Oreochromis niloticus: one gene and its partners. Each later gene encodes a partner of the first gene's protein in a complex. Links are inferred from orthologs where the notes say so. Each region holds a gene or a part of one and is shown on either strand. Other genes may lie near its edges. The genes, in order: prpf6, lsm7, lsm5 and lsm6.

Region 1 (8,234 bases):
ATTCAAATAGGAAATGCATCGACACAATAACCAAATGTGTTTAGCTGTATGTGTAGACACAATGAGAAAAGATAATGTGGGTGGAGAAATGTGTTCCTGAGGTGAGAACTGCACCAATTCAGAATAGTTATATATTAATAATATGTAGTAAGGATATTGGTAACAAATCCAATATTATAGAGGAGTAATTTCTCCTGTTTCTGTTAATGTAGCATGGCTAGATCTACTGCTATTATTTTCAAATATATGAGGACACATAAATATAGTTTAAAATATTTTTTAATTGAACCACAATGGATAAAGAAGAGTAGTGTATGAGAATAATCACATTTTAATCCTTTTTTCTGTCACCCACATGTACTTGTAGTGGCTGGTTTCAGGGCAATAAACCAATCCCCCAGTCTCATTGTATTATCATTGTATTATCTCGAACACTATGTCTGTTATTATGCTCACAAGGGAACAGGTGTTGTTGTTTGTTTGTTTTTGTTTTTTTTAGCAGACGACTGAAAGGCAATGCAAAGTTGGATTTTGTGATATTAAATGACGAGACAAGAAAATAACATTAAAGTTATCTAATCTCTCTCTCTCTCTCCCTATATATCTATATATATATATAAAACACCCTTTTGTGTTTGGTCCCCTGACACCTCCACGATCAGAGAGAATCCAGGTTTATTCCACACTTTATAATGCTAAGAAATGGCTGAATCCACACTGCATCTTTCTCTGTCTTGGTCTCTCTTTCTGTCTTTTTCACTATATTTCTTCTCCTCTCCTCTCAAGAAATTCAGCAGCAGAGAAAACAGAAGGCATCATGAACCGATTCACCGTGTCTAAATAACCCCGCCGTCTCGAGCAGACAACAGGCAACGTGGCAGGAGAACAGCTTCACTCAATAATCTCGTTTATCTATTCACCCATCAGGCAAACAAATCAGTTGTACTTTGGATTGTGTTAGCTGTCAAATGTAATGCAAAAAATATGAGAAACCTCTTATCAAACCACAGTGAGAGTAATTCACATGCTTCCATTCTTCTCCCACACTGAGCAAAAACTAAATGCCTACAAGGAGACATGTAACATGGCATGTGTGCATAGGCCAAACAAGCCTTCTCCCACAGACTCGTGGCGATCCTATTACTGCTTAAGGACAGGAGTGGAGGGGGTCTTTTTCTTTACATAGCAATTAGCCTAATGCAGCATTAACTTTGACCTGCAATGTGCATTTGCCACGACTGCCTGAACTGTCAATGCATTAGTATTCACATCACAAAAACCACCACCGTTTTCCCCTCCTTTTTACAGTGTCGCAGATCCTGCCTTAGACTAATTATTGGACTATCCTCATTCAAAGCCTTGTTTTACTCAGTGGATCAATGAAATTCTATTTGAACATCTGTTGGCCAAAACAGCTGTAGATAGCCACTCCAAAAGGAAAGCCCTAATAGGAATTTACTGTTGTCCTTCCACAAGGACACTTCTCTTTGTTTCAGAATAATAAACAGCCACTAATCAGCTCTAAATAAATCATTTATCCTCCCAGGACTTTCTTCTACGTATGAAATGAGGCATTGTTAAGGTAGACTGCTTTCAGCTAAGACACAGTCATTGAGTTTAGTATGTCTGCACACTGAAAAATGGTTTTGTCTGTGTCCTATTTTGTGTTTTTTTCCCTTTGTCCACACTGTATTGTAAAATATAATGAGCTAATATTAACTCACAATGAATCACAGCAAAATGAATGATGTGTGTCTTTGTGAGTGTAGGTGTGTGCTTGTAGGTGATGCATTAAGCATATCAATAAACCTGTCATCTTGACATATGCCCTTCTGTGCTTCCTTCCTCCAAACAGCAGCCTTCTTTCAATTAGTGGACTGTAAACATGCTGCTTTTGGCTGAGTTGTTGCATCTTTTTCATTCTTGGTATCTTCCTATTAACCGCTGTGGACCCATTCTTTTGCATTCACATGACACTGTAGACATCTGGTGTAGCACAGGTTGAGGCAGAAAGTCCACTGGTTTCTCCATCCTGAGTTCTGTGCACTGAAAAAATAGATTAAACTGAGTTATGCATCCATGCAAAATGGCCCACATGTAAATGAATAAACATGCAAGAATGCACACATTACTGTATGCTTGAATGGAAATACACCCATTAAAATATTCACAATTACTCTCTTTGTAATTTCACTTGTTTAGAGCACACTTTATTCTTCCAATTACACTCAAGCATCAGTGTATCACCAGATCACAAATTAAAGTATTTATTATGAAATTAGAGATATTATTTTGTGAATCTCTATAACTCAAAATGCATTTTCTTGCTAATTGAAGTGATTAGTCTTTGTTAAAACAAAAAAATAGGCTGAGCCATTAAATTATTGTCTTTCAGCACTGCTTGGTTCTAAACAATGGCTTTCTATAATAATGACTAGGGGAAAAAAGGCTTGCCAGTCAAAATCTTGGTCTCCATTATGATCTATTCTCTTACAAACATATATAGGAAGTTGTCTTTTTCATGCAGATGAGTTGTAGAGGTCAAATGAGTCCCTTTTAGACTTCTGTGTCATGATGCCAAGTTGTCTATGATGCAGGTAAAGTAGGAAAAAAATGTTTTTTTTGTCATTTTTTTAAAACTTTATTAATGCAAGACACAGCTTCCAACTCACAGCTGCATTTACAGGAAGCATTGCCAAATGTTTTATGGCTGCACATCAAAGGAAATGATGATAGCATGATCTCTGGCGAGACCGCCGTTGCTCAGTCAGTCTTCCCAGCCCCGGAGCAGATATCCGCTATCTTCTGCTTCCACTGCCATCACAATTGCAGATTTGAATGTGTTTGTGTCTGCATGTGAGGTGGAGGTTTGTGGATTCCTGCTGGGTGCTTTATGCTTATGGAAACACACTTTTGTTACCAATATATAAGTCAGATTATTGGAGACACCTTTTCTATTCATTTAGGTATAGTGACCATTACTCATGCAGCAGAGAATAATGAATCAGTTATTGTGCAAATTAATCTTGGTACTACACGTGTGCTTGGATCAGGCTCTGAGAAATTCTCACTCTTAATATAGGCCAATACTTTAAAGACAATTTATCATTAATGAGACTGAAGTAGATTATGGCTCAGGACTATGAGAGACTGCAGATATACGATGTGGTGTTTTCTCTGCCACCTTTCCCTGTCAATTCAGGCTTGACATAATTCTGATTTCTATGTGTGACTATAAAAATCCTCTGGTTGAAATCAAACGATCATTGAAATAATCAGGGAAAAGTAAAATAGGCCATACAATAGCTGGGTGAAATAAAGGCTTGAGTTACGCTCCATGTTTAAATTAGTCCTGCGTGAGCTATATATCGGCTAATGTGCCTGACAGTCCATTTTCATCATAACATCTTCTCCCGGGAGTAATATAATGTCTGCCCTTCAGGCGATGTAAATGAAGAAAAATGTAAAAGCCTAAGCCGAGGCTCAGACTGTGCATCAGTGAAGTTAAATGTGATTGAAGCGCAGTGTTGTAGCCTATAGACTAATTTCATCTTATGGGAGGAAACCCAGAAATGTCATGTTAATATGTAATTACCACTATTACAGTTTCCTGTCTCAAGTTTGAATATCCACATTATATAGAGGATAATGGATATTTTTTCACTCATAATGGTAAATAGGTTGGGACTTTAATATGCTAACACATGTCTAAGTTAGTGTATGCATGTAAGTGTTCCATTTTGAAAATGCCATTACTGCTATTTTGCCACTGTGTGTTTCAGTTAGGGTGTTTCTGTGCCATGTGTCCCATCAGGTGGTCAGGTTCAGGTGGTCCATTTATGACACATTGTCATGGGAAAACAAAACCATAAAATAAATGAATGAAATAATGTGAGAAGTTTATTTCGGTAATTGATTATAAGGAACTGCCAGGATGTTTGTACCATTAGGGTTAAGTAGAATGAAGTACAAATATCTCAGAATAAAAAAATATGTAGCTTTTTGGGGTTTTCACATGTCAGATGATAGTTTATGCAACACCATCCATCCATCCACTTATTCAAACAGGCTTGTCTTTGCACTGTTGGAGGAAGGCACAGAGACGCAGGGAGAGCATGCAAACTCCTCAGAGAAAAGCTCCAGACTGAATTTGAACCCACGACCTTCTTGCTGTGTATCAACAGTCGGGCCCTTGAGTTCAATGAGTTTCCATAGCGGCATTATTTTTCAGGATGTGGTGCCCTCTTGTGACTTCTGTGCAAATTTCAATCTGCTGAAAACATGAGTAAAGAAATAAATTCATCCACATAGTCTCACAGCAAGTTGCATTCAAACCAAATCTAAACCAATAAATATTAACCGAATAGTTAATGTATAACAGTTTTGCTATAACTAAACTAAAATAGTATTGAATACATTGTAAAATAAAAATAGTAATAGTAATAATTAATAACCCGCCAGTCCTGTGGGGGCGCTGCCAGGCATTTCTAGACCTTAGGCCTTTTTTTTCCTCGGAACGGAAGTTCGACTGTTGTTTATCCGGCTCTGCATCGTCTCGTCGTGTGAGCAACGATGGCTAGCACTGGTGCAAAACAAGCGCCTAAAATTGTCTCCAAAACTTCTGCGGGAGGCACCGGGGCGGCGGGGGCTAGTGGTGGGCCCCCGATAATGCCCCTCGCCTCTCCGCTCATGGGGAAAAAGAAAAAGCCGTTTCTAGGGATGCCTGCTCCGCTGGGTTACGTTCCCGGTCTCGGCAGAGGGTGAGCTAACTTAAAGCTACATGCTGCTAGCCAGATTGACCCGTTTTTTTTCAGTCGTACTAACCCACGTTAATAATTAGTAAAATTTAAGTACAAGGTAGTTTACAATACATACATTAATTGGTTAATATATATATATAATTTATACGTGAATAAAGTGCATATCGTTTCCCTTACCATGGCAAGTACGCCAGACTATGAAGTTTTTAAATAGTTTAGTGGTTTTATGATGTAATTGCTTTATTAAACGTGAACTATTAAATTGAAATTTAATTCAAATAGAGTTAAATGTCAATATATGCTCTTTCTAAATCCATAGTCATCTAATATGTAATCTGTTTTAGACAAGCGAGCAAAATTTAAGTTAAAAAGTCATAGTGATCAAAATAGTGTTATAAGCATGGAAACGTATGTCACTGTGTTATAGAGAAGAGTAAAGATCTCGCGGTATAATTTTGGCCAGGCTGTGTTTATTTATGTCACATTTAAATTAATGCTTTTCCCTCCAGTGCCACTGGTTTCACCACCCGATCTGATATCGGTCCTGCTCGTGATGCTAATGATCCAGTGGATGACCGGCATGCACCCCCTGGAAAGAGGACGGTCGGGGACCAAATGAAAAAGAACCAGGATGATGATGATGAAGATCTGAATGACACCAACTATGATGAGGTATCTGTGATTTGTTGTAGATAAAGGTGTTTTTTTTCTGAGAGTTTAAATGATCAAGTCACAATTTTAAAGCCGATTTCTTTTATTATGAGCAGTTAATTTGATAATCTTGTCATACTTTGTTGTTTCTCTTGTAGTTTAATGGTTATGCAGGTAGCTTGTTCTCAAGTGGGCCCTATGAGAAAGATGATGAGGAAGCCGATGCTATATATGCAGCGCTGGACAAGAGGATGGATGAAAGACGCAAAGAAAGAAGGTTACAAAAAAGAAGAGTCTTTTGTTTAATTTTTATCAATGCACAGTGTATTTGTTTTCAAATATAATATGGATTTGATATTGCAGGAGTCTTTTGTTCATGGTTGTCGTTGTATTTTAGGGAGCTGAGAGAAAAGGAGGAAATTGAGAAATACCGTATGGAGCGACCAAAAATTCAGCAGCAGTTCTCAGATTTAAAGGTAAGAGATTGACCCTAATATTCCAAACCTCTCTTCTGCATCATTTATGGAGAAAACTAATGTTGTCTTCTTTGTGCACTAAAAGCATGTTAAATGCATTTTGGTTTTATTAGCTTTATTATCATATCTACAGAAGAAAAGGATTAATATTATTCAATGCAATTCTTTGGTTAAATCAGAATCAGAAGGCTTTTTTTAATCCCTGAGGAAATTATGTGATCAGTTTCTCCAAGACTGTAAGAACAGCAGCTAACTAAAATAAATTAAATATGTCAACATACTGCAAAGTTATGCAATATAATAAAATAGCTTTAATATACAAAAATAGCTTTAATTATAAATATCCCAGTATATTACACAAAAGAAATATATACGGTTGATATTGTGGTGCCCCTCTTGTCATACTGTGCTTTTTTGTTTTCTCTGTAGAGGATGTGCAAATAGTAAGCGTGTGCAGGTATTACAGCATACACTGTGCTTTAAATGGAAGAATTGTACAATGAGATAGCCACATACAGGATCGATTATAGTCTCTAAATTCATAATTTTTAAGCAATGAATTCCTGGGCTAAGATCTTTCTGTGAGATAAGCTTAGTCATAGCCTAGTAGTGAAAAGTGCCTTGCAAGTTTGTCTCTGAAACAGTGTTACCTTTTCTTCTTGTTTTACTGAGGAAATAAAATACTGATTAAACTAGAGGTGCTATTTTAATCAGTACAGATATTTGCAGATTCTGTGCAGTAAATCACATTTAGGTTAGTTACTCAGGTATAATCAAACAATCGTAAATGAAAGCAATGCTCACATCCCATTCTTTTCTCCAACATCTCTTTTTTTTTTACCATTTCTCTACAGAGGAAGCTTGCAGAGGTGTCAGAGGAGGAATGGCTGAGCATTCCTGAAGTGGGAGATGCCAGAAACAAGCGCCAGAGGAATCCCCGCTATGAGAAGCTCACCCCTGTCCCCGACAGCTTCTTCTCCAAACATTTGCAGAGTGGAGAGAACCACACCTCTGTTGACCCGTTGCAAGGGGTCAGTATAATGTGTATACAAATGGAAATAATTTTTGTAACTCATATTTACTTCCAAGTGCACTTCACTAAACTTCAGGGTGTAGTTTCACTATGGCCCAGCAGGAGTCAGGATATCTCCTTGGAAAAAAAAAACAAGTTACTCTCCAGTTACAGCAGTTTGCTCAGTTTTTGTCTGTTTTACAGACTGGACACCTGTTGCTACAGTAATTGGTCACATGAACTTTGTTGGCATTTAAAATACATTTGAAAGGGACACTTGATTGACCTGTGCATGCAGGTAGACGTCCATGAATTGAAAATAGAGACACGGCCAGCTGATTTAAAAAGTCGACAGTTGTTTAAGAGGTATAGCCTCTCAACAGAGAAAAAGCCATTGCTTGACTTTAAATTAAAAGATTGAAGTAATTTGTGTCATTTTGCATTGGTTAGAAAAGTGTTACATGATTCGGGTTTTTGTTTCAAGAGCTGTTTAAACGTGCCATGACAGACTTCTCACAGACTGTGTTGCTCCTCTCTGTTGACATTGTTTCCTATCTCTACTAGCTGGGAGGTCTGAACACACCTTATCCAGGAAGCATGACACCTGGTCTGATGACACCAGGGACCGGAGAACTGGATATGAGGAAAATTGGTCAGGCCAGAAACACACTCATGGATATGAGGCTCAGTCAGGTAAATGATGCATTACCTTGCGCAACTTTCACTTTTACTTTCTTCTAGGATTCATGCTGCTGCCATTATGCTGATAGAAACAACTTAACTATTCTCTATCCTGTGTCTGCATGTTTTCTGTATTCAGGTGTCTGACTCAGTGAGTGGACAAACAGTAGTGGATCCCAAGGGTTACTTGACAGATCTTAACTCTATGATCCCCACTTATGGAGGAGACATCAGGTAGAGAGACACTGACGGCATCAGATTGCTATATTTGTGTAAAAGAAGTTGCTCTGTGTATATGTGTTAAATCGCTTGTTTGTGGCTCTGCTTGTTCAGTGACATCAAGAAGGCTCGTCTGCTGCTGAAATCAGTGAGGGAAACAAATCCCCATCACCCACCTGCCTGGATTGCTTCTGCCAGGCTGGAGGAGGTGACTGGGAAGTTGCAGGTGGCCAGAAACCTGATCATGAAAGGCACAGAGATGTGTCCGAAGGTAAAGGAGGTTAAACAGTAAAATAAAACTATTAAATGACAAAGAACATAAGGATGCTGATGTTTTCTGGATATTTTGCTCAAATTAACCCTATAATCTCTAAGTTTGCATTTCTTAGAATATGGCATTAATATATCGCTAGTATTATAATGTAACAGCTGCTT
Region 2 (7,570 bases), on another chromosome or scaffold:
TGATGGGAGCGTGTGATCACTGCGTGAGTGTGCTGCAGGTTTTTTATTGATGCTGTTTCTGGTCCCTGGATTATAAAAACGTGTAAATATTAAGAACAGCGTTTTAGTTCATCTTTGCTTTTTTTGAGTGAGAGGTTAAAAAATATTGTTTGTATTAAAACAAATTAACTCTTGTGTATAATGTGGTGTAATCTATTTTAAATGGAACAAACTACTCTGACTGATTTGTCCACATGGCTGCTCATGCATACAGTTCTGATTGTAGTAAATCTGTTGATAAATCACTTTATAGGCTGTTTTTATTCATTATTCACTGTATTCTGTATTTGAATCCCTCTTATGATTAAAGAAGTTGTATTTTTCTGCGACAGAGCTAGATTTTTTAGGAGAACTGTGGCGCCCCCTGGTGCACAAAGCAGACGCTGCCCCTTTCTGATGCCTTTACAAAAAGTATTTCTTCTACAAACACGGACGTGAACCGTGTGTGTCTGTGCATCGTGTCTTTTTCTCACAGGCAGCATGATTTCCTAATCGGGTCTTTAGTTTTGTGCCTTGGCTGCTGTGTTTTAAACACTATGATATGAAGTCTGTGAGCTACTAGGGTTGCCTTTTTTGAAACAACACACAGGAAAGGCCTTATTGTAACGTGTGTTACGTGTTTTTGCGTTGTCATTTCTACCTTTGGAAGCCATGAACCTGATTCACACAGATGGGCATTATTGAGCTATTTTAGATAGTGGAGTTAAATACATAGATGAAATGCTCCTGTTTAAAATGAATGTAGAGATATTAGGAGCTGTATCTTTTAATATTTACCAGATTGTGTTCTGATGCTTGCATACATGTCTTTTCCCACCGTGCTGCTGCAGATGAACACATCATGTAATTCACTACCGCTGTATTAGTGGGAACTGGTGAAGGTGACTGGGTGAACATCCAGTCATCATTTATGTAACGATGGCTGTGATAGGGCTAGAAACGGGGCGTGTCTGTGCAGGGATGTGATGTCACTGAGGCCCACCGCACAACAGGGGGTTTAAAGTGAAACGCTGGAGCGCTAAAAGGGTCGATGCAGTGAATGAGACTGAGACCCACCGGGAGGTTGTTTTTAAGAAGACTGTTTTATTATGAGTGTTGATTTGTGACAACTTGAAAAGTTTAAATAAATGACTTCTGAATAAAACTTGTACAAATTGAGTCAAACTTTTATGAAACACTTACATTTTGTTCATACAAATGAACACACACACACACACACACACGCACGCACGCACACACGCACACACACAGGTAACCATACACAGTACTGTGCAAAAGCTTCTTTATGTTTTGCTATCGAGGTGACAGACTGTCTCGGTATGTTTTTAAAGTGCTCTTGAGCAATATTGCTCCAGGCTTCATGAAGGTTGGAGGTTGGCTGCTTTTTCATTCACTTTTATGTTGTGCAGTGTGTCCTTAAACATCTGAACAAATTGGACAAGTGGAGGATTAAAGAGGTGGCGGGCCTGTCTACAGCACATGAACAGTCTCTGAAAGTCCTGTCCTAAAGAGTTAAATGAAAAAAAAACACACAAGCAAAGCCCTGACACAGGACCTGAGAGATGCATCTGGCCCGTCAGCTGATCCATCTGCTGTTCGCTGAAGCCTCATCAGAAATGTTCTCAGTGGAAGGGTGGCTGTCAACAAGCCATTCTTAGGGAAAGGAAACAGGGAGAAAAGGCTGAGCTTTGCCAAATTACACACAAATTGGACTTAAACTTAGTGGCAACGAGTCTTGTGGAGTGAATCTACATTTGAAATGTTTGGTTCAAATCATGGCCAGTGTGTACAGGAGAGGTCAGGAGAGGTCAGGAGAGAGGTACAGCAGAGTGTCTACAGCCATCTGTAAAACACAGTGGAGGCTCTGTCACGGTTTGAGTCTCAGCCAGTGGTGTTGGGGTGTCCTACCTCACTACCTGCATGAATCTTTTCTGAGGTCGTCCTCTTTGCCTCCTGCTTGGCAGCTCCAACTGTACTTCTAGCTCCATCAGTCCTCGTCGCTCCAAATGAAAATCTTAACTCTGCCACCTCCAGACGTGCTTCTAGTTTTTTGTCAGGGCTAGTCTCTCCAACCTATACATCACAGCAGGTCTTGTAGCTTCTTGCTTCTATCCTTCTGTCTAAAATCACTCCTGACACTCGTCTCCACCCACTCCACCCTGACTGCACTCTCTTCTGGACTCTCCTTTTTCTTGGATGGTTGATATTAAACTGATCTACCTTCACTATCACTGCTCTTTGCATGTCTCCCTCTCATTCACACATGTGTATTCTGCTTCTACTGACTTTTACACCTCCACCTGCTCAGACTCTTCCGCCTGCTTCCTGCTCTCACCACACTTTACAACCATGCAGTAAAAGCATACCTGATAGAACAAAACACACTGGAACACTATCAGTCATGGACTGGCCTCCACAGAGCCTGGAACTCAGCGTTATTGATCTCTGGGATCATCTTAGTAGAGAATGGAATAAAAGAAGAGCTTTGCATGTCCTTCAAGAAGCCTGGAGAACTATACCTGAAGACTACTTAAAGCTTGCCTGAGAGTTCAGCCTGTGCTTTTTAAAGGTGGTCAGACCACATATTGACTTTCCCTTCATGTTTGCACATAAGTTGCTGCACCCATTTCCCATTTTCCTGACCAAATATAAAGAAAGAGGGATGGCTCGAGAGATTTGCACAATATTCCACATTCATCATAGAGCATCATGGGAGCATTCTTACGGTGACACACCCTCTGAGGGGCACGGGACAGGGTATGGCATCATCGACCTCAATGCAGGTGTCTATGTAAGGGTCCAGCAGCACCATGTTTGGGAATGCTTTGTTACTCTTTCTCTCGCTGACCAGGTATATCTGCCCAGTGACTGAGGAGCAGCCACAGAAGAACTTCTTGTTCAGACATTCCTCCTCCAGCACCATCCACTCATCTGTCTCCATGTCAAAACGAAGGGCTTGGCCCCCGAACAGGTAGAGGGCACTGTTGAGCTCCGTGGCAACCAGGTCATATCTAAAGAAGAATTAAAAAAATATGAATCTTTCTGTTTAATTGTCAGCTAATCATCCTGTATCCTTTATTTTGACATTTCAAACTTCATAAGAATGTAAACCTGGCAGTATCAGAAAGATACTCACCGTGGAAATGGAGAGTAGGAGACCACATCCCACTGATCCTGCTTCACCACATACCTCTGAATTCCACCATAAACCTCGCCGTTTTCATCCAGGCCGCACGCCACGTAGATACACGACCCCAGAGCAGCAGTGGCTGCCCTCTCTACGGCCCTGACCATGGGGCTCACTGCCTCCCAACCCTCCTCTGACCCAAGGACCAGCCTTTCTACATCATCCACAAGACCTTCGTCCATACTTCCCCCCAGGACGTACAGGACTGACTCGAGCCCTATGGAGCAGTGGCTGTGTCTGGACTTCTGCAGGGCTGGCCCGTCCACCCAGCGCTGGTTCCCACATTCGTAGATCCGGACCCAATCCACACTGAACCACAGAACATCCCGGAAGTAGCCACCTGTCACGACCACACTGTCTCCTAAATAAAAAGGAAATTTACAAAAATCTGTGAAAATGTAATGTCCAATATTCATGTAAGATAATAAAAACTAACTTAAGAATATTAAAAATACTGCACATGAAAAATAAGCACAATCTAACTTTTGCCAGTTTCATTATCATATTATCTTCATTATGCATCCATTACCCACTGCAGCCACGGAGTACTGTGTGAGGTTCTTCCTCTGCAGAGGCGCGCAGCTCTGCCATCTACCATTCATCGGGTGATACTGGTACAGCGCCTGTTCTTCCTGATCATGAGGCCCGCCCAGCACGAACAGGGTCTCTCTGGCCCTGGTCCTCCTCATTGACCGGCCCACTGACCAAGATGCTGGGAAATGTTCATTGAGCTTTAGGATGAGCCTGGCTCTGGGGTCAGAGCTTTTCATTCTGGTCAAGAGTTCAGTGATAAAAGGCAAGGACAGAGACTCGGGCCTCACCAGCTCAATGAGCTCCAGGAAATATTCTTCTCGTTTAGGGTCAAATGACACCCAGCGCAGTATTGCCTCCAGAGCCAGATCGTCTTTATGGATGGTTAGGTCATCGCTGGCAAGTAGATCTGCTACGGACTCTTTTGAGAGTGACAGAAAATCCTCTTCAGCTGAAATAGCAGAGAAGTGAGTGAGCACCACCTGTCGTGCTGCGGCATGAAGCTGAGTGCAACCCAGCTGCCAGGCGTAGGCCATCATCCCCAAACAGTTGCTGAGGTGCAGCTCACGCTCCAGGAACTTACAGCACAGCAGCCTGGCTCGCTCCAGCTGTAAAAAGTCGGACGTCTCGAGGATGCCCGTAACATTTTCTCTGTCCAAAGACAGGCTGCATGTTGTGGTATATTCCATCAAGGTCCTGAAATGCTGCAGACTCACACCTTTAATCTCTACCTGCCTTTTGCTGCTCTCCAACCCACAGCCAAAGAACAGAGCCCTGAAGTAAGGGCTCTGCAGGGCCAGATGTTGGCGGTTGACATAAAAAATCTCTCCTTCTACTTGTAGACTAGCATCAGGTGTTATATCAGCCTCAGAGTCCTTCACATGTGAAGCAGACTCATCCTCTTCTTCTGATACAAGCGTCAGTTCAAAGCTCTGCAGTTTCAGCTCATGGTCACCTCTGTCAGCCATGTCACAACAAACAGTCACCCCTCCTCCTGTCTTCTACACGGCTCCCCGTCCCTCTGCTCTCCAACACACCAGCTGGTGGTATTAATAGACTTTCCCCTTCTCGACCCACGTCTGGCAAAGGAAAAGGAGGTCAGATCCAAAAGCAGATGCTGATTATAAAACTGTGAGTTATAATATAAAAACTAACTCACGATACCATCCATATTAAATTAAATCATGAAGAGTCAATAAAACTATTTTTAAAAAGCAGTGACGTCAAGTAAAAGCGCTCGGTGTTTTGATTGGTGGAACATTCTTGAGGTCGAAATTTCACTTCCGTGTCACGCAGCTAACATGGCGGTGAGTTCGTGCATTCAAATACTTTTCTACCTTTGCACCCTTTGACGTTGTCAGATATGCTGTTAGCCCGTGAGTGTGTGTTTCAGCCGTAACCACAGATGTAAATCAGCACATTATAAGTAATATAAGGTGTTTTTGTTGTATCACGTTAGCTAACACGGCTAGCCTAGCTAACTGGGCTCATGCTCAGCTGGTGTTTGTGTGCGCGGTTAGCACACACGCGACTCACAAACGGCGTGTTTTGTTTTCTCTGCGCAGGATAAAGACAAAAAGAAAAAGGAGAGCATCTTCGACTTGTCCAAATACATCGATAAGCCGATTCGTGTAAAGTTTCAAGGAGGACGAGAAGGTAGGTGGATTAGTTATGATAACAAGCTAACAGGTAAGCAGCTAATGGAGACTTTACACCATGTATTTGTTTCCTCCTCAGCCAGCGGTGTCCTTAAAGGATTTGACCCTCTGCTGAACCTGGTGCTGGACGGCACTATTGAATACATGCGCGGTAAGTGTGCGCTTTAATGTCAAGACCATGGAAGGGGAAAATGGATTTACAGGGACAAAGAATGACACAAGACTGCGCCAGCACTGAAAAGTGTTTTGCGTTTCCTTTAACCTGAACACAAATGAATCATTTGCAACACTGAGGCAGAGCCCAGACTAACCTGAGTGGTGCTGTGATCACATCTACTCAAGGAGGACCCAGACTTGTAAAGTAACACTGCTGGTGATGATGAATATATGATGAAAGAATTTAGATGGTCCCATAGTTGGGAAATTTTATTTAATATATTGAGTCGAGCTGTGTGTTTAACCAAGCTTTGCTCACACTGAGGCTGGTGGTCGGCTGAGCTATGACTGCTGCAGCCTTCAGTCACACTGAGGAGTTTCTGTGCTAAAGTCATGTCAGCGTGTGGGTGCAAGTGTGAGCCCAGCTGAGTTAAATTAAAGTTTAGTTGGTGGTTTTGACACCACAGTGAAGTTAGGGTTGAAAAAACTGATGGTGGTGGTGGTCAGAGGGCCCGGTGGCGCCAGTGTCCGGCAGCCTCGCCTCTGTCAGTGCGCCCCAGGGTGGCTGTGGCTACAACGTAGCTGCCATCACCAGTGTGTGAATGGGTGGATGACTGGATGTGTAAAGCGCTTTGGGATCCTTAGGGACTAATAAAGTGCTATACAAATACAGGCCATTTATAAATACAGGCCATATATTTAAACTGATCGTGCAGCATCGGCTGCTGTTGTAGATAATGTGACGCTTACTTGTGTGCTCCTGCAACTCTTATGTTTAGATCCAGATGACCAGCTGAAGCTGACAGAAGACACCAGGCAGCTGGGGCTGGTGGTCTGCAGAGGAACCTCCGTAGTGCTGATCTGTCCTCAGGATGGCATGGAAGCCATACCAAACCCGTTCATACAGCAGCAGGACGGCTAACACACAAGCTCTCCCCTGCTCACTTACACGTACATGTACACGCTTGAATATTTAGTTGTTTCTTTCCCTTAGTTTTTATTTCGTTTTAACAATAACGGTAATCATTAATGGAGCCAAGCCGATTTAGTTAAGCAGCAAAAAAACGTTTGAATGCACTTCACTTTTATTTCAGTCTGATGTGCAAATTTGTAAAGATTTGTGTTGTAAAGAGCCCATAAATGTGGGATGTGTAAACAGTACCATTTTCTTTTTATCCAGAATAAGTGAACTTTTTACTATTCTTTGTTGTTTTGATAAGAAAATAAAGTGAAAATGTAATTATGCCGACTTTTGGAAGTTTTGCTCTACTCTCCTGGCTGCACAGCTTTACATTCAGAATTACAGTTGTGAAATCGACCACTTTAAATGTGATTTAGAGATTCCTGAAAATCGTCAGCATGACTCAGCTGCTGCTGCGAGTTAGATATGGCTCCATTTTTATCTCATACACTGAGTTTCACGTGTTCCTCTACGGCGCGGGTTCTCTGCCATTCCACATGTCAGGAAAAACTAAGTCACACCCCAAACTTTTAGTTTTTAATCATTCAGTGAAACCAAGCAAAGACTCAGAGATACAGACACAGGTGTGACTGCATCAGCAGTCTCGTATTTATCCTTCCTAAAAACGGCTTTATTGAAATGAGTTCCTGCTTTATTTTTCTCCCTTTATCCAGACTCCAGCTTCTGTGGCTCGCTCCACACTTTTGGACCCACTGCTCTACAGCTGAGCATCACTGCTTGCTGTCCAGCTTAGCCGGCAAAAAAATACGTCAAACGCTTAATAATGCAACGCCAATTCCAAAACAGTTGGCATGTTCTTTAAAATGTGCACAAAAACAATACAATGATTTGCAAATTTCATAAATCTGTATTTTATTCATAATAAATAATTTAAACGTGATGTTTTCTAAGAAAATGTGCCATTTTAAGATGTGATGGCAGCAACATGTTTCAGAAAAGTTGATATGGCAGCTACGAAACAGAAGTTGTGTGTGTATGTAGTTGTAAGAAACAACTGTTGAAAATTTTAAAACTTAA
Region 3 (8,348 bases), on another chromosome or scaffold:
AGCCTCGAGCCTTGAAGTTTATGAAACAAAAAGGAAATCTTAAAAATGCCTTTAACTCTTTTCTTCTGCCCTCAGATGGACTACCGCTCACTCGTTCACGAGAAGGATCAGGCCATCTACTCGGATATCAGAGTGATCGTTCTTGACATCCGCGGCTTCTACGTAAGAAGCCTAGATTTATATTTTCCCCCCAAACACTTAAACCATGGAAAAAAATGGATCTTAAATAAAATATTTGAGTTTTTCTATAAGATTGAAAAACTGATTTTCAAATAGTTTAATCACTAACAATGTATTTTTAGCTGCTGTAAGTCGATTATTTACCTGCATTTCTGCTTGTTTTCCTCAGGCCGAGCTTTATGACATCATCAGCAAAAACCTGGAGAAGGTGACCAACCCAAAAGGAGAGGAGAAGCCCTCGATGTACTGAGGCTCCCGGGGAACGGGAAAAGCCACTGGGATGAATTTAAACAACCTTCAGCTGCATTGATCACCTGCTAAACTCAATATCAATCAAGTATCCGGCTCTTTGTTTGATAAACATTTAAAATAAATACATAAACAACTGGATGGGGGGTTTTTAGTTCTGCTGTTTCATGGTAACACTTTGGTTTTATACCAAGATTTGCACTAAATTTTAAGTTGTGTGGTAAAGAATGAATAAAGAAAAGTGTTTTTCAGACTGTGTGACATCCTCAGATTTATTTTTAACAAAGAAAAACTTTTCGGCATGTGCACCTCTCATCAGTGAGGAATCTTATTACAAAAATATCTTTCTCATTCAGGATCAGGAGGGAAAAACCCAAAGAAAAAACAAGACATCAACAATAATAATTACATAATAAAGTCAGGAACAGCAACACAGGAAGATTAACCGGCCTCCAGCCATTTATACTTCTGGTCCTTCTCCACCGGGGATGAGCTGCAGAAGAGAAAATATGCCGCCATAAATCATCCTGTCAAGGTTTAAAACACGGGGGATTATAGGACATGATCAGATGTTTGTTTGGTTACCATGGTGATGTTATTGCCATTGAGGAGGATCTGGTCCAGCTTGGTTATCCTCCTCCCCTCTGGTGTGATTTCACTGCAACACATTCATTTATAAATATAGTCAGCAGTGAACCCGAGAAAAGGTGTAGTTAGAGTAAAAATGTAACAGGAGTACTTACAATTCTGTCACATCCTCCAGGACCATGTCTGACACACACAGTTAAAGACAAACTGTGCAACAATAAACAGTAAAGAGACATCAAAGTGCAGCTAAAAGCTAGAAGGTTTACACAAACGAGCAGGAGGATGTGGAGACGTGGACGTGAGCAGTACCAGCGCCCATCTACAGAAGCCTTTCTACTTCCTATTAATCCCTAATAATTAATTAACTAATTCATTAATTAACTGGCGGCCACCAGCGGTACTCCTCATCCTAGTAGACACAACTGTGGTATCAATTCAAAATCCTATGTCCCCTCATTCTCAAGTTATCGCATTCACAAGAATTTCACAAAACTTACTCTGACCTTGAAGTCAAGGTCACCGAGATTCAAACTCCAAGACTTTTAGAAGGTGCACCTATGTTATCAATTTGAAAATCCTAGCTGACTTCCCTCTTAAGTTATCAAATTCACAACCTGTTGTTACTTTAATTTGCACCAATTTGGCAGAAATAGATTTATGATGGTTTATTACTCCTACCTGGACAGACTGACATGCCTGACGTTGAACTCTGTGTTGTACTGTGATGACTGACTGTTTCCTTAAATTATTTGATCAGTCTATTTGTCCCCCATTGTACAGATCTACACATTTTTTTTTATGCCAATGGTATTCTGCAAGTGTCCTCTCTCACATTTCTAAATAAAACAGAAACAAAAAGCAGCACGATAGTTCACTGCTTCTCATTGCATCAGCTCCACCTCACAGCATGGATGATTTCAAACAGTTTATGGTGTGTACAGAACAATACAGTAACATCGGTAACACTTTGTAAATTGTTGGTGTTTAGGTGTGCACTAACTCGCTCATTTGGACACGTTTTAATTAAAAGATACTGACGAAGTCATCGAAGCCCAGCAAGGTGCCGACAATTTCTTTGTCAGTTTTCATGACGATGTGAATTCGGGAGCCGATACATTTGTCCACAAGCTCTGCAAAAGGAAAAATACAGAGAAATTACACATCCTGTAATTCAGGTGGGTGTTTCTACTTCTTACACTTCACTTAACCGCTTTATTAACTGGTGTCTATCTTTCTTAAGGACTCAACAGTTAACCCTTTGAAATACCATAAATATTTAATAATAGCCTCCTAGTCACATGGATATAACATTAAACCGATCCCCTTAAAATAAAATAAAAAATAGAAGTTTGACTGGATTACAAATATGCAAACACATATTTTAAAAAGCATCACCTATAACTAAATAGAAATAAAAGGACGACAATGTATTTTGAACATGCCAGGGCAAATCTGTGAATTACGTTTTCATTAAGTGCAATGTAACACATTGACACAGATAAAAGCAGCTTTTTTTCGTATTATTTCTTTAAATCACCATTACAAAAATGATAGTTTTTTTTTTTATTTTAACTTTTCAGCTAGAAACTCCCCTCTGACACTTTAATAAACAAACTAAATCAAATAAGAAGCATTTTGTTTGTGCTTGCAGAGAGTAAAGCCGCAACGTTAGCTCCCTACCGGCGTGATGCTAATGCTAACTAGCAAACATCTGCCTAGAAAATGATTTTCAGTGAGCCGCGGCTTAAACTGCGGCCGCCGCACGATGACTCGGAACAGCCTCATTTAAACCCACAGACGTCAGGAACAAAACACAGCATCATAGAGATTTTACAAACCGAGCGGGAGCAGCTGCGACGGGTTTGTAGCCGACATGTTCAATCAAGAGACTTCCCTCTACAAAGCCAGAAGTAATCGACAGAAGAACCGAAGTGGCAGCCAGACAAGATCAATCAATCTAGAACAATTTCGTCTCTGGAGAAACAAAAAACATCTTCAGTCTACTTTTTAAAGAAATTCAAACATTCATGGTTGGAACCAAATATAATACACTTCTTTTTAAATTCAAACAAAACACACACACACCTGAGGACGATATTAAATTATTCTGTATGTCTCCACACGATGGCGCAGGTTGTGTCGAGGAACACATGACATCATTTTTGTGTTTAAAAAAGAGAACAGAACAGAGATCAAGATAATTCACCCCTGTAAAATCTGACCGTGGATAGTTATGCTTTATTTCACCGTGACAGGTGGAATTTAAGGTGACATGCACGTTTTCTATTGAGCTCGAAACACAAGAGACTAAGCTAATTATCTAGTCTTTAACGGCAGATTATCCGGACTTTATTCTAGGGCAAGATGTCTGATAACATCCAAGGAAATTCCAGATTGAAATGTAGGAAAATATGAAGGAAATGTTAGTCAACTCGTGACTTTTTCCAAAAGAACTTCAGCCTGATTGCATTTAAAGCCTTTACATTCATTTTGTCCTGCTTAAGACAAAAAATACACTCAATATAATTGTTAACTGTTATCTTATTATATTATGTTACATTGGTCAACAGTGAATTAAAACTTTAATCGGTCATTTAAATGTTTTTATTACGTTATATTAATAACATTATACAATTGGAAATCTCTAGTAATTTATACACGCCTTCCTGTTGTATATGTTTATAACTCAACTTTTGTTACATAACGAAAAACACTGAAAGTAGGTAGGGTAGGTAGGGTAGCTAAATGCCAATTAGTTAGCCTAAACGGGATTAGCTAAAAGGTTATTAGATAAATGCTGATTAGCCAGTTAAAAGCTAATTGTATGCTAACAGCTAATTAGTCTGCTAAAATATGACTAGCTAAATTATTGTTTGATAGTTAGCTAAAAAGTAATTGAATAAGATAGGCAACTAAACAGTTAGTCAGCTAAAAGCTAGTAAGCACAGCTTAGCTAAATTTTATTTTAAGTTGAATTTAATATCAATGCTGAAATTTTGAAAACTGTAATAAAATGTTGGCTTTTGTCTGCACACTTAAGAAAGTATTGTCTAAGTAAATTTGCTCCATTGACTCTACTTAACTGAAGACTGTCCTTGGGGGGGCAATTAGCTGTAAGCTTAAATTTCGGTAAGCGAAAACGGAAGTGCGCTGCGGGGGATGCTCTTGCCCAATTGGCCAGTGAGGACTAAGCGGAAGAGAAAATCATCTCTGCGGTGCTGCCGTCTGTCTGTGTCACATATTCAGGGAGATACAGACAGAAAAGTCGGCCTCGGTTATCTGTGTTTACATCCAATTCCGGAGTTAAAACAACGATAGACTGCGGGTACAGCAGCGGGGATGGAGCCTCAGGGCAGAGACGAAGGGAAGGGGCCGGTGCTGCACATCGTGGTGGTTGGATTTCACCACAAAAAAGGCTGCCAGGTACGTGAACCTCTGCTCCCAGCTAACATCGGCTAACTGCTAACCAAGTCCTCACATTGAGTTGACATAAAGGTGCATTTTCACTAAACTTCTGTACGGTACGAGTGTCACCTTACATCTCTAATATGCGCTTGTTTTTTTAAACAGCGCATGCACAGTCCTGCAGTAATGCGGACATTTATAAACATAAAAACAGTAAAAACTACAGACTTCTCACTGCCTGGCTTCCCTGTCAGTGAAGAGGGGTTAAGAACAGCAGTTTGCTGTGGGCTCCCAGGGTTATATAACACGAGGTCTGCTGCCAGCAGTTCAGTGTTTTCATCTCAGGCTGCAGCATACTCATCATCACTTCTCCTGGACCCTGCTTTTGTCTGGGTATGCACAAAAATGGAACAACAAGCCGATTAATCGATCAGTTCAGGTTTTCTTTGAGCTGTTTAGAAACATTTTCTTGGTATCATGTCATTGTTTACTTAATATTTTAGGGCCTTTTTGGTAAAAAGAAGACACTTAACTGTCACTATTATAGGAGTTGTTGTTGTTTAAAAGCGAAAAATATGTTTTGTGCCCAGCTGACAAGACAGACAGAAGGCATTACTGACTCATTATTCTAGGACTGCACTAAAAAGTTTTAAAAACTCCTGCTCGATCTTGCACTGGCCCTTTACACGACTTGTCAGTTTGAAACAAAGTCTCTCTTTAAAAAGAGCCCCTTCTGTTTAAGCTTGCTATCTCTTGATTGGCTGACTTCCAGAAGCTTGCTGAGGGGCAGGAGCACTCAGTGTTTACCTTTTAATTTTTTTTTAAATCTTTTTAAGGATTTTTACTGCATATGAAACTTTTTGACACTCCAACGAGGAGGTTTACAAGATTTCACATTTGTAGCAGTTGTTTAATTGTGAAAATAATTTGTCTGACAAATCATCACCTAAGACCAAATTGAACTCTGTGTGGCCGTTAATGTAAAGTGAGCTTAACACCCCCGCTTTACTGATTCTAATTTTTCCTCACATTGTTGTTTTGTTCTTCTTCTGCTGCTGATTCAAATTTCATTAAATGTGCAGTTACACACTGAACTTCCTCCTCCTCCTCAGTGGTGTTGTTGTTGTCTCTGCTCTCCATCTGTTTTTCTTTCTGCGGTTTTGCAAACAGCTGCTGCTCAAGCCCAAAGATAAAACAACAGCTTTCCTGATGTAAAGATGAGACCAAAGCCCTGGCAAAGCACCCAGTTTGCAGTCTTTGTTGCCTTTAATGGGCCTGCACTCAGGGATGGAGGTGATGGAGGTTATCTGATAAGGGTCAGCGATCTCCTGCTGGGCGGCACAAGATTGGGTTCCTGGCTCTTTAATCCGTTTCTCTGCCTCTCTTTCACAACCGCCCTCCTCCTCTTATTCACCTGCTGTCCATCTGCTTGCCTGGCAGGATTTCGAGGACTTCTACATGTATTTTTTATTGGAAACCTTAATCAGTAATGCAGCAGGAACATCCATCACACAGAAATATGTTTACTTATATTTTCCCACTTAATTTTAAGCATGTAAATACAAATAAAAATGCACAAATGAGCCTGATTAAAAACATTGAAAGCATGTTTTTTTAATTCCTTACATCTGCAAAGTTTATTTTTAACAGTACATTAAGAAACATTGGCACATACATTACAAATCTGCACCCTAACATGTTTTGCAGTTGGCTCAGTGTGTTTGTTTGGAGGATTACATAGTAACTCATGGACAGATTTGTATGAAAATGCCACAAAATGTGGAGCTTGGTCCACTGCGAGATGGGACAAAATTGGACATTTCATGCACATCCATAGACACTTTAAAGATGTGGCTAATGTAAGGTAGAGCTGCCACAAACGATTATTTTGATAGTTGACTAGTCACCGATTATTCAGTGTGTAACTGCATGATTAGTCGACTAATCAGATCATGCATCCATTGGACGTAAAACGTGCATCTTATTGCACCAGCATGCATCTGCTCTTATATAACTATCATTAGCTTACAGCTTGAAGTGTTTAAGGTATGTGCTAACTAAAAACAAAGACAAGATGATAGTTTAATTAAACTTTTAATGAAATTTGCAGATTGTCTCAGTGAAGTTTAATAATGAACTCAGCCATCTGTTCTTTGCTTTCTAAAATATAAAAGGACATTGGAGTAAATTCTCGACCATCTCACACTTCTGTTTAATCAGTTTTCTGTGTGACGTTTATTCAGCTGTGTGAAAACTATAACTTTAATCTAACTTTAATCTTTAAGCAGTTTTCTGTTCCACTTGTGCGGGTGTTGCTTTCATGAACCTCTGTCACTGTGCCATGTAGGTCCACTGTTTTGGACCCACCCCAAGTACTTAAGCATACTGGCTTAAGTGTTTGGGGGTCCAGGCTGTAACTCCAAAGGTTTTCCTGAACAAGTTGAAAGCTGGATTTTTAGAAATATTTCCTACATTTGAAATTTACTTTGTCTGTATTGACCAAAAGAATAGTTTAATGTCAGCTCCTCGCTCTCTGCCTAAAAATATAAATGAAAAATAAACTCAATTCAGGATGAATAAGCTCAGTAATGGATGCATTTCTGTTCAGAGCATCACTTCTCTGGGGTGAGGAGTGGCACTCTGCCCTGAGGGAGGATTTCCCCATCAAACATTGAATCATTGCTGGTGGGTGTGTCCGAGGTGTTCAGGACCAGCAGGTTTCCAGTTAGTCTTGTTGGAGGGTTTTTGAAGTTTAATTGTTAGTTATGATATTTCTTAGTAGTTTTGCTGTCCTTCTGTAGTGTATATTTAGTATATCTCATGAAGTCATTCATGCATTAATCGATTGGTAACATTGCATTCTTTGTAGTTAAATTACTTTACTTCTCTCTCACTACTTCATGAAACAGGAAATGTGATGTGTATATGAAACTTTCTAAGGTACACTTATAGTCACTGTTGCTGAGCGTTAGTAATTATTTCAAGTGCTTTCACATATGGGGACCTCCTGCTAATTAGGAACTGACCCAGTAGAGAAACGATCAATGGCAGTGGAGAAAGGAGCAAAGCTGATTAAACTAGATGTGAAACATGCAGTTCTCTTTGTCTTGCCATTATAATGAAGTTTGATTACCTGATAGTAATGCTGTTTCTGTGTGTGGCAGTGCGAAGTGATGTTAGGAACTGATTTTGATCTCTGTTGTGTCCTGGCTCTCCCCCGAGGTCTCCTCGCAGGTGGACTTGCCTGAAACAGCTCACCTTGCAGGCATCTGGGTTAAATGCCTGAATGTCATATATCCTCCTGATGTGGAGGAGCAGCTCTACACTCTACTCTTTCGATCTCTACTCGCAGCTTGTGGCTGCTGGTGAGGGTGTGAATGTAGACCGACCAGTAAATCACCTGGAAAGTGTTGTTCGGATAAACTCAATTATCCTGAATACCACATTTGGCCTAGATTCTGGAAAAACTGGACAGAAAGTTTGGACAAAAATATTTGAAAAGGTGTGGGGAACATCTGTTTCGAACTTTAAAAATGATTTTTTTGCAGAAAGTCAACCAGAATAATTGTTAAATATAAACTTTCAGTCCCTTCTGGTGTTTAAGCTACTTGTCTGTCTCTGAGAAATGGAAGAATATTATAGGTAACGACCAGTAATGTAGAGTGTGTTTTTACATTTATTGGGTCTTCGGTGTTCTTCACATTGAGATGTTGTTTTTTTTTTTATTGACTGCCCCCATGAGTCTCCTCTCTTAATCCAAAGCCTTCTCTGATGTAGTTGGATCTCTTTTTGCCACTCCAGTGACACCAAGTTGGCTTGAGGCTTTGGAGAGTGATTGCTCATAAATCCTCTGCATCATAGGATGTGCATGGTATTTGCTTTGCAGGCCTGTTTCTAGGCTATTCCTCTGCACCATCCGTTTCATT
Region 4 (8,071 bases), on another chromosome or scaffold:
CAGTGAGGAAAAACAATCAAACATTTAAGACCACCTGAAGCAATTTGACACCAGAAAGGGAAATCTGCTACTTACCTGAGAACATGTGCTGATTAAAAGCAAAAACAATGAAATTAGAAACAAAAACAAAGCCTGTTGATGCTTTTGTATTTGCATGTGTTTATTTATTTATTATTTTTTGAATCTGCTGTTACAGCATATGTAAAAAAAAAAAGACTTGGCATCTTAGACATACATTACACATGTAATGCATAGGCAGCAGAACAGTCTGGCGATCACTGACAGGTTAACCACAGATACAGCCCACAGTGTCAATGTTTTAATTAAGCCCTATTTCAGCTGACTTATTAACCATCATTGGTGGATTTTGTGCTGGTTACAGGCCAGAAGCACTTTTCTCAGCCTGTGGATTATACCCGATTTGCCCGTGTAAGCTCACTTCAAACATTTTCTCATTATATTTCCACTAAGATCCAAATCAGCACGAGAAAACGTCTGCATTAAATGCCGGTCATGAGTATAAGTTTTGCTTTATCCACAAACTTCATGACTTGGACATTTTTTTTCTGTTTTTATTAGATCATTGGTTTTTATTATACTACGAGATAAAACTAATGAGCATTTGCATTCAGTGCGTTCAAGAATGGAAGCGAATAATCAGCGTGCCGCGTTTCAAAAAGCAAAAAGCCACTCTTCGTTACAACTATAGGATAACAAAGGACAACTACATGTTAGCACGCAGAGGTCATTTCTGAAGGCCATGGAGAAAAACTGTGGTTTTTTTCTTTCCAAAAATTTTCTACAAAGCAAGCAACGACAAAGGAAACAAGGGACAAGGGGGAAAAAAATCTTCATTGAATATTCATTAACCGGTGCCTAGGTGTATACATGGCTCTTAACCACTCTTGTTTATGACTTAAGGACTTGTAGTACTGACCTTAGTTTAACACAGCAGCAGATACCAAATTAACCTCTAGCCTCCACAGGGCTAGCCATGCCCTGCTAACAAGCAACCTGTCTAGACACACAAGAAGTACTTTATGATTCCACCTCTCACAATCCCCCTCTCTCTCTCCCTCTCTCTCTCTTTTTCTCTCAACCTCTCTGTCTCTGCTAACACGTACTGGCACATCCTCGTGCCCTCTATCCTCTTCTATCTTTCACCTCACCATTTCATCCCTATTTCCCCCCCTACACCATTTTTCATGTACCTCCCAAGCTGTGCAGTGTTTGGGTCACGCACCCCAACAACCAGAGTTTTTATCAGATGGTAGACTTTCTCTTATCCTTCACAGCACAGCTTACCAATAGCATAATAATAATAATAATGGTAATAATAAAAAAATAATAATACTATTACTATTATTGCATTATACTTTTTTAAAGCTATAATGCACTTTATTTATTTCTATTTTAAAACAAGAGAAATTCCACAGTGATTTAAAAATGTGTAAACCCAAAGTGAGAAACACTCATAAACGTACTTTAACATATAAGTAAACTTCTGTAGCTTTTAAAGATTTCCACTGAAAATTTAGATTGAAATTTATTACATTAGGTTAAGCTTTTTGATTAAATTAAATGAAACTTTGTCCATATGATTAATGTAGAATTTTACATTTGTGCTATTTTGATATATATTTCATTCTGATAAATAATGAATAATTTATTTTAAAATGTTTGTAAAAACAGTCCGAAACTTCAAAATATTCACTTTCACTGTCATCAATCATTTTTTGTATTTATTTGTTTTTTATTATAAAGCTTGATTTGATATTAACATCCAGCGATGAATAAGTAGAAGGACCAATCAGGCCAATCTAATCAGCTCTCAAAGGAGATGGCAGTTATGTTTTCGACTGTACTCACACATCAGGTGTTTCCTTCCTTGTTAGCAGATCTGACTTCATCTCGGTGTGCATCTGGTCACCATTCAGCTGTCGAACAGCAACTATTTTGCAATAACAGAGACAGTGACCAGAATCTGTGAGGGTCTGTAGAAGTTTTACTGTTAAATTTACGCATAATGCAGTTAAATAGTATCAAAGTCAAACGTGTGAGATTCAGAGTAGTTTCATGGACATTTAGGGAGAAGCATATTTACCACTGTGTTGCATCACCTGTACATTTTACAACACAACCTTAAATTAAATTGCAGTAATTTAGACCACAGAGTTCTTCCTTGTTCTTGCTTGATATATAATTTCCGTTGTTTGTGTTCTCTGGAATTGTTTTGGGGGTTTTTTATTTTGTTTTTTGCAATGATCCATTTTTTTTTATTTTGTTTTTTAGTGTGTAACAAAAACAAACAGGAAGGACTGTTTAGCACTGAGACTCTTTTACTTTACTCTTTATGATGAATATGCAAAATATGTACAGACATCTTCTCACTGAAATAAGCAATGATTCTTCTGAGAAACACATCATTTGGACTGCATAGCATATGTTGCTTGAAAATGTGTATTTATCCCTGTGTGCCCTACAGATGTGCAGGTTAAACATGCCGCGTGTACTAATGCACATGACCATCACAGATCTCAGCTTTTGAACTATGTGCTGATAAAAATCTACTTTCTTTGCATGGTAGTGTTTTAACTTTCATTTGCTGAGGCAGTGACAAATAACATCCATCCTTCCCTCCATCCATTTATCCAATTCAGGGTCGTAGAGGGGGTGTAGCCTATCTCAGCTACCACAGGGTGAGTGGCAGGGTACACTCTGGACAGGTCAGTAGCCTGTCACAGACAACCAGACATGCAGTTAGTGGGGTTAGGTTAACTGGTGATTCAAAATTGCCCATAGGTGTGAATGTGAGCACGAATGGTTGACAAATAATATTTTACTGAAAATGGACCTTGACCCCATGCAGTGATTTCTACTAAAGCATCATGTCCATTTTTAATGTAGTGTTAGCTGAGGGCCCATAGATCATGGCCCGTCAGCAAAAATTTTGGTGAAATCTTTATCGATTCTCTGATTGATTAATTGCTATTATGTACCACAAATGACCACAGATTTTTTGCAGACTCAACATTTCCAGTATGCTTATTTTTTTGCCCATGTACCTGATAGTCTTATAATATTTTCAGTTTAGACTCTGATATGTTGCCTTTGTATTTTTTTCTTAATTACAGGCTTCAAATGATTTGCAAATTACTGCATTTTTTTCTTGTTTACATTTTACAGCATCCAAACTTTTGTGAAATCATAGCTTATAATATATATTGATGTCACCCATTAAGTTTAACTCAATTCTGCCTCAGGATCATATGCATTTTTAAAACAAGGCAAGCACCTAAATGATTTTTTTATATTTTAATTTAACAAGACAAAGAGGTATGAAGTACCAACATCATTATCTCTGTTGTTATTATTAATATTCATCCAGAAATTGCTCTGATTTCTTCTTATTTGGGTAGTGATTTTCTGTGCTTTAACCAGAATCCAGATTCAAATGTTTTGTTTTCATCATGCTCTTTCAGCCTATGGTGGTAATTATGTGAAATGATATATAGAAAACGCACAGTTCCAAATTAATGACTAACAGGAGGAAAAGAAAGGTCCAAAAAGGAAGCTGATATATATATATGTATATATATATTATTTTGCTGGACTAAAATTCATATTTCCTTTTTCTTCATAATCTTCTCTTTGCACATCAACTGTCATGGCTGGGAACATAAAAGTACAGGTGATGCTGAACACAAGGCTACAGTGTTGCAAGAGCCTTAAGCACATAAAAAACGGCATGCTCTGAGAAAAGTATTTAATCCCTTACAGATTCCTTTTTTTCCCTCTTTTTTTTTTTGCCACTTTGGCACACTTACATGTTTCAGATCAACAAAGAAATTGTAATTTTAGACAAAGGTAACCTGAGTAAATACGAAATGCGGTTTTTAAATGATGATTTGATTGATTAAGGGAAAAGACTATCGAAAGCTGGCCCTGCGTGAAAAAGTCATTTTCCCAAAACCTAATAACTGCCTGTGGCACCTTTGGCTGTCACTGTGGTTCGTTGGAGTCACAAAGCCTTAAAAATAGCTTTGTAACGTTTCTTATCAATTCTTGAGATTTTTTTTTTTTTAGATTAAGGAATGAGGAATGGTGTGTTGCTTTTTGAAATCTTTCACCTTTTACACTTTGTCAGACAGCTTCTACTTAAGTGATTTCTTGATTCAGCAGGTCTGGCAGGAACCAGCCCTGGCTGTGACTAGGGAAAAGTTACCAGTTAATTCATGACTTAACAAGGGGAGGGATTATTTTTTTCACATAGGACCAGATAGCTTTAGAAGCTTTTTTCCTATAACAAATGAAATCATAATTTAAAAACTGCATTTTGTATTTACTCAAGTTATCTTTGATGACCTGAAACATGTAAATGTGACAAATATGCAAAAAAAAGGGCAAAAAATAGAGAAGGCTCAGGCAAACATTTAATCACAAAACTATAGCTACTTTGTTGCCAGTTTGATACCTGATTATATGATTAGCGATCAATCAGTTAAGTTTTTTGTCCTCAGCCTCTTTCCGTACAGAACACGCTTGTGATTGGTCAATCTCACGTCCATGCTAAATACAATTGTCTGGAAAACCTCGGTCTGGTGAGTGAAATGCTAACAAACATATTGCTGCTGCAGATAAAATTAAAGGGTTTCTCCTTGTGTTGTTGGGTGCAATAAAATGTAAGCAGGATTTTCACAAAGACAGCGACCCTCGCTGCGCAAACAGATTCACGGGAAAATAGTCGGTTAGCAGGTTTGTTATACTCGTTAGCTAGCTAGCCGCTAACGATACTAGCCTGTTTGCGTTAGGAAATCGTTACTATTACAGACATGAACACGAGTTAGCTTTTGTCACGCTAATGTAGCTCCATGAAATAAATTGCTACTATAGTATCTAATGCTCATCTTTCATCCTTTCAGATCACAGTCAAAATGAGCCTGAGGAAGCAGACCCCGAGTGACTTTCTGAAGCAGATCATTGGCAGACCTGTTGTGGTCAAACTGAACTCTGGTGTCGATTATAGAGGTACGTAACAGCCTAGCCACTTGTTTCCCCCCCAATACTGATCGGTAAGTAATGACTTTAAAGGAAAACACGGTGTGTTTGTGTACCTGCAGGTGTTCTGGCCTGTTTAGATGGTTACATGAACATCGCCATAGAGCAGACAGAGGAGTATGTCAACGGGCAACTCAAGAACAAATATGGAGATGCCTTCCTAAGAGGAAACAATGGTAAGCTTGTCCCTTTTATGTAGACTTTGGTATTAAAATTTGAGGCAGTATAGGTCTTCTGTAAGAAGACTGAAGTGCATAATTAATATGATGATAAAATAGAGTAGAAAAATAAATGCAGGTTGTTTATGTTTCTGAGGCCATCAGTTTTTTCTCTTAATGTCTGAAACTGCAACTCATTCATGACAGTTAAAAGGAGCAGAAAATATGACAAACACAGGTGAGGAGCGCAGGTTAAAGTGTGATCTAAAAAGGTTGATCAGCCAACTTACCCAGAAAAGTAACCTTCTCTGTAGGATGTTCCTCTCAAAACAGGAAGCTGTGGTCTGTCTGATAATGACTCACATTCAGTGCTTGCTTATTAATTCCGTTTAAATGAGGGCATACATTATGAATGACACGACTCGGTTCAGTATGGTGCCATAACCTTTTAGCTATGTTCTGGTCTAACACAACTCCTTTTTTTCCCTCATAAAATAAATTTGTACAGCTCCAGTAAGCTCTGCGTAAAAGTCAGTCGTGAACAGTAACCAGAATCCTGAAACTGTAAAACTGAACTCAGAAATGTGTTTTACTATATTTTTTTTTTAATTTTTTATTTGCACTAGTACTTTTTTTCTCTTTAAACTGTGGAAAAGGTCTCTCGCCTTCTTGAAAGTATTGTGAGGGTTAGCCAAATGGTGATAATTAGTTAAAGATAAAAAAAAAAAAAAAAAAAATCCCACTCAAATTAAATTGGTCTTCAAATTAAACTTTTGCCTGCATTGATTTTTCGAAGTACATCATTATATGATAATAATCAGTAGATATCCTGTTAATGACAGTAGCTGTTAGCTGATGCCCGAGCTGATTTATTAAGATATTTTTAACTCATTAATTATTGTTAAAACAACACATTGTTAACACAGCTCTTGGGAACTGCCCTTTTTCACTCATTGCATTTTCTTGTGTCTTGCTATATTTTTATGAAACTTTGTATTAATATTCTCCATGTTGATCAGCATAGACAGACTGGAGCGAACTCAAACTGTACAATGGTTTTGTACAGAGACATTCAGATAAAGTGGTGTGAAAAAGTGTTTGCCTCTTTTTGATTTCCTATTTTTTTGTATGTTTGTCACACTTAAATGTTTCACATTAAACTAATTTAAATACTAGACAAAGATAACACAAGTAAACACAAAGTGCAGTTTCTAAATGAAGGTGTTTATTATTAAGAGAGAAAAAAATCCAAACCTACATGGTCCTGTGTGAAAAAGTGATTGCCCCCCTAAACCTAATGGGCCACCCTTAGCAGAAACAACTGCAATCAAGTGTTTGTGATAACAGGCACTGAGTCTTTTCCAGCACTGTGGAGGAATTTTGGCCCACTCATCTTTGCAGAATTGTTTAAGTTCAGCCACCTTGGAGGGTTTTCAAGCATGAACCGCCTGTTTTAAGGTCATGCCACAGCATCTCAGTCGGATTCAGGTCAGGACTTTGACTAGGCCACTCCAGAGACTTCATTTTGTTTTTCTTAAGCCATTCAGAGGTGGACTTGCTGGTGTGTTTTGAATCATTGTCCCAACTCTGCTTCAGCTTGAGGTCATGAACAGGTGGCTGGACGGCAGAATTCATGGTTCCATTTACTACAGCAAGCCTCCAGGTCCTGAGGTAGCCTCAGACCATCGCACTAACACCTTTTCACTGTTGGTATATGACATTCCTTTTCTAAAATGCTTTGTTCGCTTCATGCAAGATGTAATGGGACACACACCTTCCAAAAAGTTCAACTTTTGTCTTGTCAGTCCAGAGAGTATTATCCCTAAAGTTTTGGGGATCATCAAAATGTTTTCTGGCAAAACTGAGGCTGTTCCATGTTTTCGCCATTTGTGGATAATACCTCTCATTGTAGTTCACTGGAGTCATACAGCTTAAGAAATGGCTTTAAACCCTTTTCAAGACCAAGAGGTTGCAATTACTTTGTTTCTCGTGTGTTCCTGAATTTCTTTGGATTCTGGCATGTGCCTGGCTTTTGAGGATATTTTGGTCTACTCCACTTTACATGATTTCTTGATTGAGAACAGGCGCAATACTAGTCAGGCCTGAGTGTGGCTAGAGAAATTCAACTCGACTCAAACTTTGCAACGATGTGATACACCACAGTTAATTTATGTTATAACAGGGTGGGGCAATCACTTTTTCACAAAGGGCCATGTAGGTTTGGATTGGTTTCCCCTTAATACTAAACACCTTCATTTGGAAACTTGTTTACTTGTTATCTTTGCCTAATATTTACATTTGTTTGATGATCTAAAACAGACAAACATGAAAAAAAAAAAAGGAAATCAAGAAGGGGACAAACACTTTTTCACATCACTGAAACTGTCCTGAGACAGAGATTTCATGTTTAATCACTGGTATGCCCTTTTTTTTCAGGATGCATTAGATTCAGCTCAGTGTAAGGCTCTTGTTTGCAGAGATAGTGTAATACACTCTGTATTTACCACAGTAGTCAGAACATTTTTTTTAACTGTATTGTTTACATCTACATCTCTGTCTGCATTTTCTAGACACCAGGCATGCACTGTATCCAGTGTGTGATTTGATCTTGAATGTGAGTCATGCAGGCCGGTGTTTGAGGCTGCAGATAGTGCTATTTTAGTCAAAATAACCAGTACAACAAACTATACAGATTATCTTTGAGGTGAAAAATGTGGAACGTGGATGCTGCAGGGGGTCAAGGTTTAACATAGAATTTACTAAATCATCATCAGCAGCAGCACATTTTCTTGTTGTTGGAATTATTGGTTTTTCTTTGGGATTTGTTTCTGTGGAATAACTTCTGTTTGGGGCTA

The links.
Region 2: prpf6 (region 1) and lsm7 share a complex: the UniProt entries of both Homo sapiens proteins name them as parts of the U4/U6-U5 tri-snRNP complex. The link is inferred for Oreochromis niloticus from reciprocal best matches to the Homo sapiens genes PRPF6 and LSM7.
Region 3: prpf6 (region 1) and lsm5 share a complex: the UniProt entries of both Homo sapiens proteins name them as parts of the U4/U6-U5 tri-snRNP complex. The link is inferred for Oreochromis niloticus from reciprocal best matches to the Homo sapiens genes PRPF6 and LSM5.
Region 4: prpf6 (region 1) and lsm6 share a complex: the UniProt entries of both Homo sapiens proteins name them as parts of the U4/U6-U5 tri-snRNP complex. The link is inferred for Oreochromis niloticus from reciprocal best matches to the Homo sapiens genes PRPF6 and LSM6.

The regions. Positions count from the first base shown.
Region 1 is NC_031984.2:16,006,648-16,014,881, forward strand, and holds the start of prpf6 (pre-mRNA-processing factor 6), read left to right. Parts: upstream 1-4,524; 5' UTR 4,525-4,572; coding exon 4,573-4,760; intron 4,761-5,269; coding exon 5,270-5,432; intron 5,433-5,569; coding exon 5,570-5,688; intron 5,689-5,808; coding exon 5,809-5,887; intron 5,888-6,741; coding exon 6,742-6,918; intron 6,919-7,463; coding exon 7,464-7,592; intron 7,593-7,719; coding exon 7,720-7,814; intron 7,815-7,913; coding exon 7,914-8,070; intron 8,071-8,234. UniProt on the Homo sapiens protein: Involved in pre-mRNA splicing as component of the U4/U6-U5 tri-snRNP complex, one of the building blocks of the spliceosome.
Region 2 is NC_031986.2:44,793,742-44,801,311, reverse strand, and holds lsm7 (U6 snRNA-associated Sm-like protein LSm7), read left to right. Parts: upstream 1-4,985; 5' UTR 4,986-5,058; coding exon 5,059-5,064; intron 5,065-5,322; coding exon 5,323-5,413; intron 5,414-5,494; coding exon 5,495-5,566; intron 5,567-6,350; coding exon 6,351-6,493; 3' UTR 6,494-6,818; downstream 6,819-7,570. Other genes in the region: kelch-like protein 23, read right to left, coding at 2,747-3,050, 3,176-3,587, 3,756-4,725. UniProt on the Homo sapiens protein: Plays a role in pre-mRNA splicing as component of the U4/U6-U5 tri-snRNP complex that is involved in spliceosome assembly, and as component of the precatalytic spliceosome (spliceosome B complex).
Region 3 is NC_031974.2:8,914,965-8,923,312, forward strand, and holds lsm5 (U6 snRNA-associated Sm-like protein LSm5), read right to left. Parts: upstream 3,240-8,348; 5' UTR 3,103-3,239; intron 2,992-3,102; 5' UTR 2,893-2,991; coding exon 2,856-2,892; intron 2,817-2,855; exon of another isoform or gene 2,698-2,816; intron 2,148-2,697; coding exon 2,052-2,147; intron 1,201-2,051; coding exon 1,173-1,200; intron 1,088-1,172; coding exon 1,015-1,087; intron 923-1,014; coding exon 890-922; 3' UTR 674-889; downstream 1-673. Other genes in the region: psme2 (proteasome activator complex subunit 2), read left to right, coding at 76-162, 350-430; late secretory pathway protein AVL9 homolog, read left to right, coding at 4,357-4,440. UniProt on the Homo sapiens protein: Plays a role in pre-mRNA splicing as component of the U4/U6-U5 tri-snRNP complex that is involved in spliceosome assembly, and as component of the precatalytic spliceosome (spliceosome B complex).
Region 4 is NC_031971.2:16,285,171-16,293,241, reverse strand, and holds the start of lsm6 (U6 snRNA-associated Sm-like protein LSm6), read left to right. Parts: upstream 1-4,447; 5' UTR 4,448-4,601; intron 4,602-4,614; exon of another isoform or gene 4,615-4,755; intron 4,756-4,922; 5' UTR 4,923-4,934; coding exon 4,935-5,028; intron 5,029-5,120; coding exon 5,121-5,234; intron 5,235-8,071. UniProt on the Homo sapiens protein: Plays a role in pre-mRNA splicing as component of the U4/U6-U5 tri-snRNP complex that is involved in spliceosome assembly, and as component of the precatalytic spliceosome (spliceosome B complex).